Drosophila melanogaster: one gene and its partners. The protein of the gene in region 2 interacts with the protein of the main gene of each other region in a pairwise test. Each region holds a gene or a part of one and is shown on either strand. Other genes may lie near its edges.

What was found.
Region 1: the proteins of Cpr76Ba (region 2) and CG10650 interact in a two-hybrid assay, tested with the Drosophila melanogaster proteins (one large-scale study listed by BioGRID).
Region 3: the proteins of Cpr76Ba (region 2) and CG13155 interact in a two-hybrid assay, tested with the Drosophila melanogaster proteins (one large-scale study listed by BioGRID).

The regions. Positions count from the first base shown.
Region 1 is NT_033779.5:18,992,793-18,997,580, forward strand, and holds CG10650 (uncharacterized protein), read right to left. Parts: upstream 3,143-4,788; 5' UTR 3,063-3,142; coding exon 2,987-3,062; intron 2,921-2,986; coding exon 2,810-2,920; intron 2,230-2,809; coding exon 1,345-2,229; intron 1,200-1,344; coding exon 994-1,199; 3' UTR 568-993; downstream 1-567. Other genes in the region: CG46465 (uncharacterized protein), read left to right, coding at 1-439.
Region 2 is NT_037436.4:19,517,024-19,519,926, forward strand, and holds Cpr76Ba (cuticular protein 76Ba), read right to left. Parts: upstream 1,310-2,903; 5' UTR 1,253-1,309; coding exon 638-1,252; 3' UTR 529-637; downstream 1-528. Other genes in the region: Cpr76Bb (cuticular protein 76Bb), read left to right, coding at 2,672-2,903.
Region 3 is NT_033778.4:12,379,047-12,382,328, forward strand, and holds CG13155 (uncharacterized protein), read right to left. Parts: upstream 1,381-3,282; 5' UTR 1,376-1,380; coding exon 752-1,375; intron 690-751; coding exon 603-689; 3' UTR 568-602; downstream 1-567. Other genes in the region: Cpr49Ab (cuticular protein 49Ab), read left to right, coding at 43-295.

The DNA of each region.
Region 1 (4,788 bases), on a different chromosome or scaffold from region 2:
AATGGAGGAAAGTTCGTCACCTGTCGAGGAAACAACAACGCTTTCTCCGCCTATAAGATGCCTCAGTTGTAAATTTTGCTCACCCAATGAGGGGAAAACCAGAACTAGGAAGGGCAAAAAGATGTGCCACATAAAGTTAGGCGAATTGAACGGTTGCGTATCTATGTACTTCAACTTCAACAGCAGTGCTGGAGGACCAGATGGCTTTATGGTGAGAAGCTGCATTTCCGACATGGACGAGAGTTCACTGGAACACTGCGAGAAACATGCAGAACTCTGTGAGAGGTGTTTCGAAGACGATTGCAACTATGTGGAAATAGATAAAAATGGTTTGGCCACGAATGCAGGATCGCGAATAATATACTCAAGTCTAATGATCTTCTGTTTAGCCGGCTGGCTCTTTAGGAGTGAAAAATGCAAACTTATGATTATATTATAGGCCTGTTCAGCTTAATAATGGCAAATTGAAAACCAAAATTATGGAATTCGGCGAAATCACCATCGTCATGTAATGGAAAATGTAATTTGAGTTACCTAAGAATGCTACAAATACTTTCTGAGACATTTCCAACTGGCTCTTCTAGTGCACCCAAACAAATTTCTTCGAACTATTGTTAATATAAACTCTCATTTTGATTGATGCAATAAATATACACACATATATGTACAAAGTATATTATTAATGGTACTGCGGTTGATAAGGCGTTGTGATTATTTCTTTATTTGATAAGGCCTAGCAGGTTGAAAACTCTTTTACCACTAGCCATCAATGAAAACAGGGTTTTCCAAGGACATAATTACTAAACTACTGTGAAAGAGTAATTGTTTTATTAAAATGATTTATTTGGGATTATGGAAGTGTTCTTAAAATGCTTCAGCTCCTATAATTAGGTTATGTCTTTTTGTCTGTTGCTTTGTAATAGTTAACATTACTCATAGACCCAGGCACCCGGTAATTTGATTGGATCATCCAACTACGTGGAGGTGGTTGGATTACAGGGCACTGCGTAGAGCGATCACCACTCCCGTCAGAAGGCCGACCACGCCCACATTCCTGAGTGCGCCTGCTCCATTGAAGGGTACCTTGTTGCACTTGCTCTCCGTACACAATTCGCACTGATGGGCCTCCACTTTGGCATTGCACTGGTACTGCATCAGGTGGCTGGCAGCGGTAAAACATCCTCGCACTCCAAGTTCATCTGGGGGAAAATGTTGAAAGGCAATTGTTAGGATTTTTGCTGGCATAATAATAATGCAATTTGGGAATACCCTTTTACATTATAAAATAAAATCTTTGAAAACTATAGCATTGATTCGCTGTGCTTAGACTTGGTACCAACTTACTCCAGACTCCGCTGTAGCACGTTCCATTGGGGCAGTTGATCAAAGGGAGCGTGTCCGGATATTTGGCCGACCAGCAGCCGGAAACCTCATTCGAAATGCATGTAATGCACTGGAACTCGCCGGCAGCCACATTGCAGCCATTTTCGGAGCAGGAAGTGCAGGCATTGGTTGTAGAGCAGCCAGCCTCCAAGGTGTTTAGGCACCCTCGGGTAACATTGGTTCCTGAGGTCATGGTATAACACCCGACTTCCTGGTTGTACTTGGCCTGTCCGCAGGACTTCGCATTGGTAGCAACCTGTTGCTCCGCACAGTTCTCGCAAATGATACAGGAACCGGCCTCTCGTTCGTAGGTCGGACTATTGCAAAAGTCGGAGTTGCAGACGAGGCAACTGGGATCAGTGCTGTCCGACGCACACTTGATTTCCGTGGTGGCCGATGTGCAACCACGGGTCATGTTGCTCGCAGACGTTCCGGTGGTGAAGCACCCGGCATCGATTTGACTACATCCCGCGACCAAGGTATTTGAGACCGCATTGCAGTTCTCTCCTGAGCAATTATAGCACTGGCGACGATTGGCGGGGAATAGTCCCACATTGCACAGGGATGCCGAGCATGAGGAGCACGTGGATTCCGTTCCAGCAGCACAGGGGTCACCACATTGACGGGTCACCGTCTTGTTGTCATTCAACTGATTCACGCAGACCTGTCCATTATTGGGGCACACTGCATTGTATTGCGTATCCGTCACGTTGGTCGTGGCGCAATTCGCTTCGCCGAGGCACTGCTGGCACACCAAATTCAAATTGCAATTGTCTTCCTTGCAGGTCGAGCAGGATGGTAAGGTGCACGCAGTGCCATTAATCAAGCAGCCACGAGTTAGAGTTCCTATTGGGATACAGAAAATCAATAACTAGATGCAAGGGAATATGGTTCAGAGCAAAACTTCGTATGATTTCTAATATAAACTTATAATGATTTCTAATATAACTTATATATTCCTTATAAGTTGAGAGCCTGCAGATTCTAGTGGCGCCTAAGCTGTGCTAATTTCATTCAGATCATTTTCACGCCCACTCTAAAGCCCACAAAGCGTGCCAGATTCTACTGATACTTCAACAGAATGTTTAAATGTGTACCTTAAACTCCCACAAGCTGAATAAAGAGGTATCTGATGGTCGAGTGACTCCACTTTAGCGTTCTCTTCGTTATTAAATCAAATTATACGCAATATTTAAATCTTAGACAACAACACGAAAAAGCCAGGTAGTGCAGTAACTGCCAAATGAGTCACAACATCATAAACCTTTTTCGATCCGCACGAAATTAGAAAAGAAAACAAGGATCAATAGCTATCAAAAAGAAAAAGAGATAATCGCTTATCACCTTTGGTTGCACTGATCGATAAGAGGGCCACTACCCCCGTCTAAGAATATGAAATAGTCGGTCATGAGTCATACAAACCCACCTGCGTTAATAAGAGTATAGCATTCATTATCACACTCTATAGAAGTTTGAGTAGATGGACTCGTTAAACAATTTCCAGTGTCATTCGTCGTCGATGTGCACGAATAGCACTCTGCAATGGCAATAATAATTTGAAGTAAGTCATTTGAAAAAACTCATCCAAAATGTGGTAACCTACGGAGGGCTGAGGTGCTGTCCAGCTGGCTGGCAATGAAAGCTGCTATCACAATCATACACAGGCTGTATTCTCTCATGGCTCTCGGTTTTCTATTCTTTCTGGCTTCTCAACTGAAATGTCGGACCGGCTGGATCGACCACCGTTTTTTAACTGGCTCCCTCACTGTTTGGCCATATTTTTTTTACCCCCATTCGCATAATCAATTTCACCTGAACTCACTAACACCTGCCAAGCTCTTCTCCGCATGCAGTGGTTATCTGCTCTACACACATATATATGTTTGTATACATATATATATATATATATATATATATGTACAATCGGAGGAAGTCAGTTCTCTTTTAGCTGATAACTTCAATACCCAGGTGTAAATGTGCAAGTGTGTGTGTGTACAACGCTGTTCACATGCGATGATAGTTACCACAAGCCTGCATTTACTTTGGAGCTTTTGCAAAAGCTGAAAAATTAACCCATGCTGCCAACGTTCTTACCGTATTTCCTTAAACGAATATACATCAACAGTAACTTCCTGTTTCCGATCTAGCCGGCGGATAATTGAACACAATTATAACGATAATTAAATACTTTAATTAAAATTTGGTTTGCCTTGGCTGTACGGCAGTTATATGATATATTTTCTTTTGATTTTCATCAAATTAAAATATGGTCAAAAACTGTTGTATATCTCATACATATATTAATACTTACCATTATTTTTCGATTATCCCTATAACAGCAATATGATATAGTGGTCCAACCTATATGTATACTAACTGAAATTGAACGAAGACAAACATGACTGTATCGACTCTACTGTTGAATATACGAATCTGAATGAAATCAATGTACCATTTGCAAGGGTATAAAAATAAAAGGCGCCACCAAAAACTGCATGAATAATCTCAATTTCCAGATTTTACAGGTTCGACAAACTTTCCATTTGATTATGGATTGACTATAGTTCCATTGATAAAAAAAATAATGTAATTTGAACTAACAAGAAAGAACTCAATTCCTATCAGATACCCAGATTTAATTGAATAAATACACATTTGTAGGGTCAAAAACACTTTCTTGTTTCATAGTTTTTAACCCTTATATTCTACGAGGAAAGTGTACAATTATATATGTAAAGCTGTATTGCCCAATTTTCTGGCTAATAACATATAAACAATGTGCCTTAACTACAAGTCATATATCTTAACGATACTTGAGGATTGAAGTGAGACTTTTGTTTATATGTGAACGTTCGTTCTCAAGTTTATAATTTCGGTTACTCGTTCTTGAACTTATGTGTTTGCTTTTAAGTTTTTTTTTTTTTTATCGTTCGTTCCTAATTTAATATCGAAACTTAATTTTTCTCTCAGTGTCTTAATAAAAATTATTATTATTTATTGTATTTGGGCGACTTCTTAAATTCTGCACATGCCGGTGTTTTATGTTATTAAGGTTTAAGTTGAAGTCTAGACAAAATGATTCAATAAAACAAAGTACAAATAGTAAGTACATACTTTTATATCTTTTTATCTTTAGCATATCATTTAAGGTTTTTTTGAACCAGACTGGTATTCAACATAAAGCCATTATCTTCAAAAAATATAACCGAAATCTAATCTGGGTTATCTCCGGCGAATTTAGCACCGAGAGCTAATCATGTTGCTCACACTCAGTACCTTTAAGATCTTTTCTACGCGCGGACGTATTGCTGTTTAGTTGAATTTCTGGCATTGCAATTTAATAAATTAGTTCGTTGGAAAGCATGTTATACGTTGAAAAGTGCAAGTGACTTCAAGCCTAGAAGG
Region 2 (2,903 bases):
GGAAAATAGGCAATAAATAGGATTTCTCAGGCGTTGTTTCTCTGTCTCAGCAGATTAATAATATCAAAAATGGGAGGTCCGAAAAAACTTTCAATGGCATTCGTTTCGAAGTCAATGACTCTGGGCATCGAGATCGAGTCGAATAAGCAGGGGAACTTAAGTAACGACAGCGACGGCGATGTAGATGAATTAAAAAATTGTGAAAATCAGGAATATCTTTACCATCTTTACCATATCTTTACCGGACTCTGATGATAACTTTTGGAAGGACTTTTCTGAACAAGCCGAAGCCTTCAAAGTCCTTAGAAAAGATGTGCGTAAGATCTTCCGAACCTCCTTATGTGAGCTAGAATACAAAAAGGCTGCAAGACACTAAGGCCTCAACATCCTCCGTATCGAATGTATCTTAGAATTATTGGATCGGTAAGTTGTTTCTCTCATTTAATAAACGGTGTTCGTTGTGGTCTTAAATCTCAGAACTATTGTAAAAACTTTAAATAGTAAAGTAGTTTGATTTGTAGCTTTTTTCTGCACTTTGATATATTTACCTACTATTTAAGTTAACAATTTTGTAGTTCTATTTACAATAATTAAGTCGGTCCGAATCGCTTGCAGTCAGTCAGTTAGGTCAGCTCCTCTACCACCACTTGTTGCTCTTGTCCTCCCATTTGCTGCTGGTGTCCTGTTTGACATCCACGTAGCTGGTGGCATGACCATGCCCATGTCCGTATTGCTGGCCATATGAGTGGCTGTGCTCCAAGTGACTGGCGTGTCCCACATGCTTCACGGTTGCCTGGAATCCGTTGTGGGAGTCGGCGGTGTACTCAACGATCCTGGTGCGTCCGTCGGCCTCCTTCATGGTGTAGCCTCCCTTGACCTTGTCGCCATCGCGGGTCTCCCACTGCTGCTTGATGTCGCCGGTCTTGGTGTCCTTCACCCCGTAATTGAATTCGTATTTGGGATGGTGTTTGGGTTCCTCGTGGTGGCTCCACTGGTGGTGGCTATCGTGCGCAGCGACTGGAGCCCACTGCTGGTGGTGATGATCCTGAACTGTGCCCCATGAATGGGCCTTTGGGACATCCACCCATTGGTGGTGAGCCTGGTGGTGATCCTGCCACTGCTTGGGCGCCTCGTGATGCGTCTGGATGCTGTACCCCACGCCGTGTTCGTGACTATATCCACCATGAGGGATGTAGCTAGCAGCAGCCACTCCCAGAAGTGCGCAGCAGAGGATGCTCAATTGGTGGGCCATTTTCGTTGGTTTCTGATTGACTTGCCTGGCCTAAATCACGATTGGAACTGTTATAATCACCAGACAATGCCCAATGCTTTTATACTTCTGGCCATTCTATGGATCGATTAATTACATTTTAGACTGCGGGCTAAATAGGCTAGAAAAAAGTAAGAGCCCCAAAAATGGGTATAAAAAATGCTTCGAATTTTTGTGCAAATTTTCATTTTTCCCCATTCGTATTCATAGTCTTGGGCGGTCGGTCGATTGGCAAATTAAAACTTGCCAGAAACAACAACATCATCATTAAGCGGGGCGTGAACATCGCTCAAATGCTTGAAAAACGCAAAGCTTTTCGATTTTGTTGCTTAGAAATCAATCAACAAGTGTGGCCCGCTTTCAAATTGCTCAGCAATAGCCGCCTCGCCTCGCCTCGCTGCGTTTCCACGGTTGGACCCTCTTTTTCGCCTACTTCACTCCAAATGACCTTGAGACGGACGGTGCGGTAAGGGGCTGAGAAGGGGAGGGCAGCGTTGGGCGGACCGTCCAATCGGTTGGTGTTTCTGACCAGGGGGTCTGCTGTGGGGCACCCAGAGCTTCCGAATTGGTGTTAACTTACCGATAGTGTTTTTTAATGCATATAATTTACAAGGCTAATAGACTTTAAGCTCGGAAATTTGAAATGCGTGAAAATATAAGCATATTGGTATTTAGCCTACGTTATCTGATGTTAATTATTTTTAAGACGTTTATTTGCATAAATTGTTTCGCTATCTATAGGAATAACATGCATATTAAATAAAAAGAAATCCTGTAGTTCAAGTTTTAAAACTACTAATAACTATATAATAAATATAATGTTGAAGCCAACAGATTTCTAGGAAAAACACATAATTATTTATAGCAAAATAGGTTCGCTTTGGATATTTACATAAGGATTTCAAAGTACAACACTACAAAGTTTATTTATTGGTTAGTTTAACAGCATTTCCTTATTTCTTCAAGCAAAAGCTGCCGCCTTCATCAGTTCACATTCTCAGTCATAATTAATTTTTGTAAATTAAGCAATAAGTTCTTGCCTTAGTTTTTCCCTTCTCTTTGACTGAATACCAAACACATCGAACGATCTAACAAAAACTTTTTGGATCTGATATTATTAATTATTACTAGCAGAATTTAATTGTAACGGATTGGACTTTAAATAAAATGTGCCGATTTTCTATAGAGCTCAATGGCCGAAACAATAATAATAAGTACGAGTTAGTGAGGTAATTATCAAATCAGCTAGCTCGATTGGTGAATGGTGTGGCCAAGAGAATGACCACCCGATGGTTGATTGCCCCAGAGTCTTCGATAGCTATATATAGTCTAGGTGAGCTCCCCAAGAACCAGCAGACATCATCAAAGTTCCGATTGGAAAACAGCGAATAAGTGACCGATATGAAATCCTTTAGCGGAGGTCTGTTCTTTGCCCTTCTGGTGGGAGCCAGTTGGGCAGCTCCCCATGGTGGACACGCCACCAGCTACAGTTCGGTGACCAAGCACGAAGGACCCGTCCACAAGAGCCTGGGCTACGGATACGATCACGATGTGGTCAGCGCTTACGGTGGCATCTACGGACACGGCTATCCGAGTGTCGGCCATTCGGGCTACGGATACGGATACGACAAGC
Region 3 (3,282 bases), on a different chromosome or scaffold from region 2:
TGTAACTTTCAATGTGACGCATTTTAAAACCATGCTTTTTAGTTGGGAAACTGAGAACGGCATCTTAGGCGAGGAAAGTGGACGCATCGAAAAGCTGACCGAGGAGGAGGGACTTCGTTCCAAGGGATTCTACGAGTACACTGGACCCGACGGCATCCTCTACCGCGTGGACTATGTAGCAGACGACAATGGCTTTGTGCCAAGTGCCGCCCACCTGCCCACAGCGCCACCACCACCGCCCTATGTGGAAAAGTTACTCGCCTTTTTGGAAGCAAATGCCAAGACGAAGAAATAAAGTTGGATTTTACAAGTGTATACATTTTAAATTGAATAAATTGATGTGCCATAGGAATTCAAAGGTGTTTCAATCAAGAGGACCAAATACTTTCAATTATCTACATCCTGTTTCTGAAGTCCGTAAGTTAGTTTAATTTTATCAGATTAAGGGATAAATATTCTTAATAGTTTATGGATTTTTCAAGTGTAATATATATGAGCCGTGAGCTAAACTCTAGTATATCTACTAAAGTTTGATATACCTTGATATAAAAACCACACTGTTTATTTATTTTCATTATTTATTGAATGTTTCTGAAACCGATTTACTCCCCTTTAATTGGCAACGTAGGCAGGATTCGTTGTTGTATGTACTCCAGGACTTCATTGATGGTATCATGAATCTTGCCAGGCTAAAGGAAAGCAATACTTTACTTAGCAATTCTAGAATTTTAGATATTTTTTGACTACTCACATCCTGCTCTGAATTGATGTTTGTTCTGGACTGTTGCTGCTCCTGAGTTGGCTGCACCACTGGCTCCTGGACAGGCTCCGATTGTAGCGGGTATACCGCCGTCTCCGGCTGACAGTTGATATGGCAGCCATCGTCGGGCTCCTGGTACGCATAGGCCTGATCCGAGTCCCATAGCTTGTTCTCCGTCAAGTAGCTGTACTCCTTGGTGTCTGGATGGGACTCATCGCCATCTCGTACCCATTGAAACTGGATTATCTGCCAGCCGGTGCCATTGAAATTAAAGTCGATCATGAATCGCAGATGATCTCGTGGACCGAGGGATAGACCTTCACCGGCCTCCTGGACCTTTGCCTCCAGTTGGCGCTGGGCATTCCGGAAAATGCCGCTCAAATCGGAGTCATAGGGAACACCACGATCTCCATAGCCGCCGTCATAGGGCCTGGGATCGTGCCGGTACTTTCCACTATCATCCGGAACATACCAACCCGTGGCACCGTGCAGGCGTGGCACATATCGGCCCGGCTTAAACGTGATCTTCGCCTGATCCTGATCCTGACCCAAATCTGGATCCTCGGCCCTGCAAGCCGCGATCAGCAATAGTGCAGTCAGCAAGCGTGTGTCCATATCGACTACTTGATTACGTCTGATTCGACCCCAATGCACCCGCTGGCCATTTTAGTTTGCCTCCCCGCCGACGATTGTTGTGCGGATAATAAATCGCGGTCTTTACGCCCAAGACGAGATCGTTTAGATGGCTTTAATACAGGCGCGACGCGGGTTTATTCGGTGGCTAACGAATCGATATCAGCTTATCCGTCTAGAATTCTTTGCATACTAACAAGCCATTTGGAAACAACTTAGTGGGCAACTAGTTTGCATTGGCAGTAGCGGATCGCCTTTAACCTTTCTGAGATGCAAGTCGACGCGGAGGAGCCGGTTCAAAAATTGGGGGCGACATCTGCAGGAGACAAATGGCATTAATTAAGTTGTGTTTAAATACCATAATTAGTTGTGTATTAAGATATACTACGAATGATTGATAACACTAGCTCTTTTTCAAAAGTCCCATGAAAAAGTCATTTTAAATTTTTAAATGTTGGATAAGTCTTATACATAACAACGAATCGAAATAATTTCCCTTTGATTTGTTTCAAAATTGTAGCTTCTTGTTTAGAAACCTGAACTAAATCGATGCAAGTCATTCACCTCTGGATTTATCGATTTGTGAATCAGCTTCCCGAACCCAGAAGAGATGATCCCCGAAAAAGACATTCAACTGCTTCATTCAACGAAGATCGATTGGCCAGACGAGTTTCAATTTGTTTACATTTCAGCAAATCCAATGGGATCAAAGGTAATTAGTGTCGCTTAAATCAAATTTAAGCCGCATCATAAACAATGAAACGCCCGTTTTGCATTAATGAGTATTAATAACAACAATGGCTGTCAATCAATCAATGCATCCAATTCGATATCCATTAATCAATTGTCAGAGCCGATGATTTTGGTAATCACAACATCGCGGTAGATCCGAGATTCTAGAATATTTAAAACGATGTGAGAAATCAAAGGCAGCCACGCCCCCAAAACAAGGTTTATCGATTCGAACTCTTGAACTTGCGGGGAACCTTGCGCATATTTGGATTATTCGATCGTGGTAAGGAAGTGACTAAAGTGAATGATGCTCCATGATTCATGGGGTGAAGAAACCCTGGTCACTCACTTAATTGATTCCAGGCAATCGATGGATCATCGACGGGGAATTAAAAATTCTATTAAAATTGCAACTTGTTGATAAGCCAACAGGTTAGCAATGCCCCCCTCCCCCTGCCACTCGTTCTCTTTTTGTAACTCGTAGAATCTGGTTTGTTTCGAGTATTTTAAATTATTCATCTGAAATAAATAAGGTGAGACTGCCCCTGGCAATATGGTGCGTAATTTGGTGTTTTGCGGGTAATTAATTAATCTTGTTTGAATACATACTCCCCCTGCCAAACCATTATTTTTCGTACAAATCGTCCTTCGAGCCGTAAATTTATGCGAGTGCGCAAATTATCACCACTTACAACTGACAATTGGCAACTATACGTGGTCATATATATAAATTGATTTTAGTCACATACTTTGTTGCCAACAGACGGCGCCTGCAGTTAAATATTTAACGACAATTCTGCGGTCCAGCCAACTGGATTTATCTGGCATTAATGGATAAAGTAGGCAGTTCTGTGGAAATGGAAGTCCGCTGGGCAAAAAAATATCAAAATTCCATTGCGCTGATGTCATCTTGATCATCCGGCCGCCGGAGAAATAACATCACATTTCTCTTTTTCGCACTTGTCAGCCTGGAAATTTATTTGCACGCGACTTTTCCTTTTATATACAAATTTATTTTATGGATCTCCTTACAAGGGCCGCAATGGAATTGCTTTGAAATTGATTTTACTTAGCATCTCCATGGAGGGGCTAAGTTGCCCACCCGTGCAGGATTGATCAATAATTCGAGAGCTTTGAACCCGCCAACACTCGGGTTA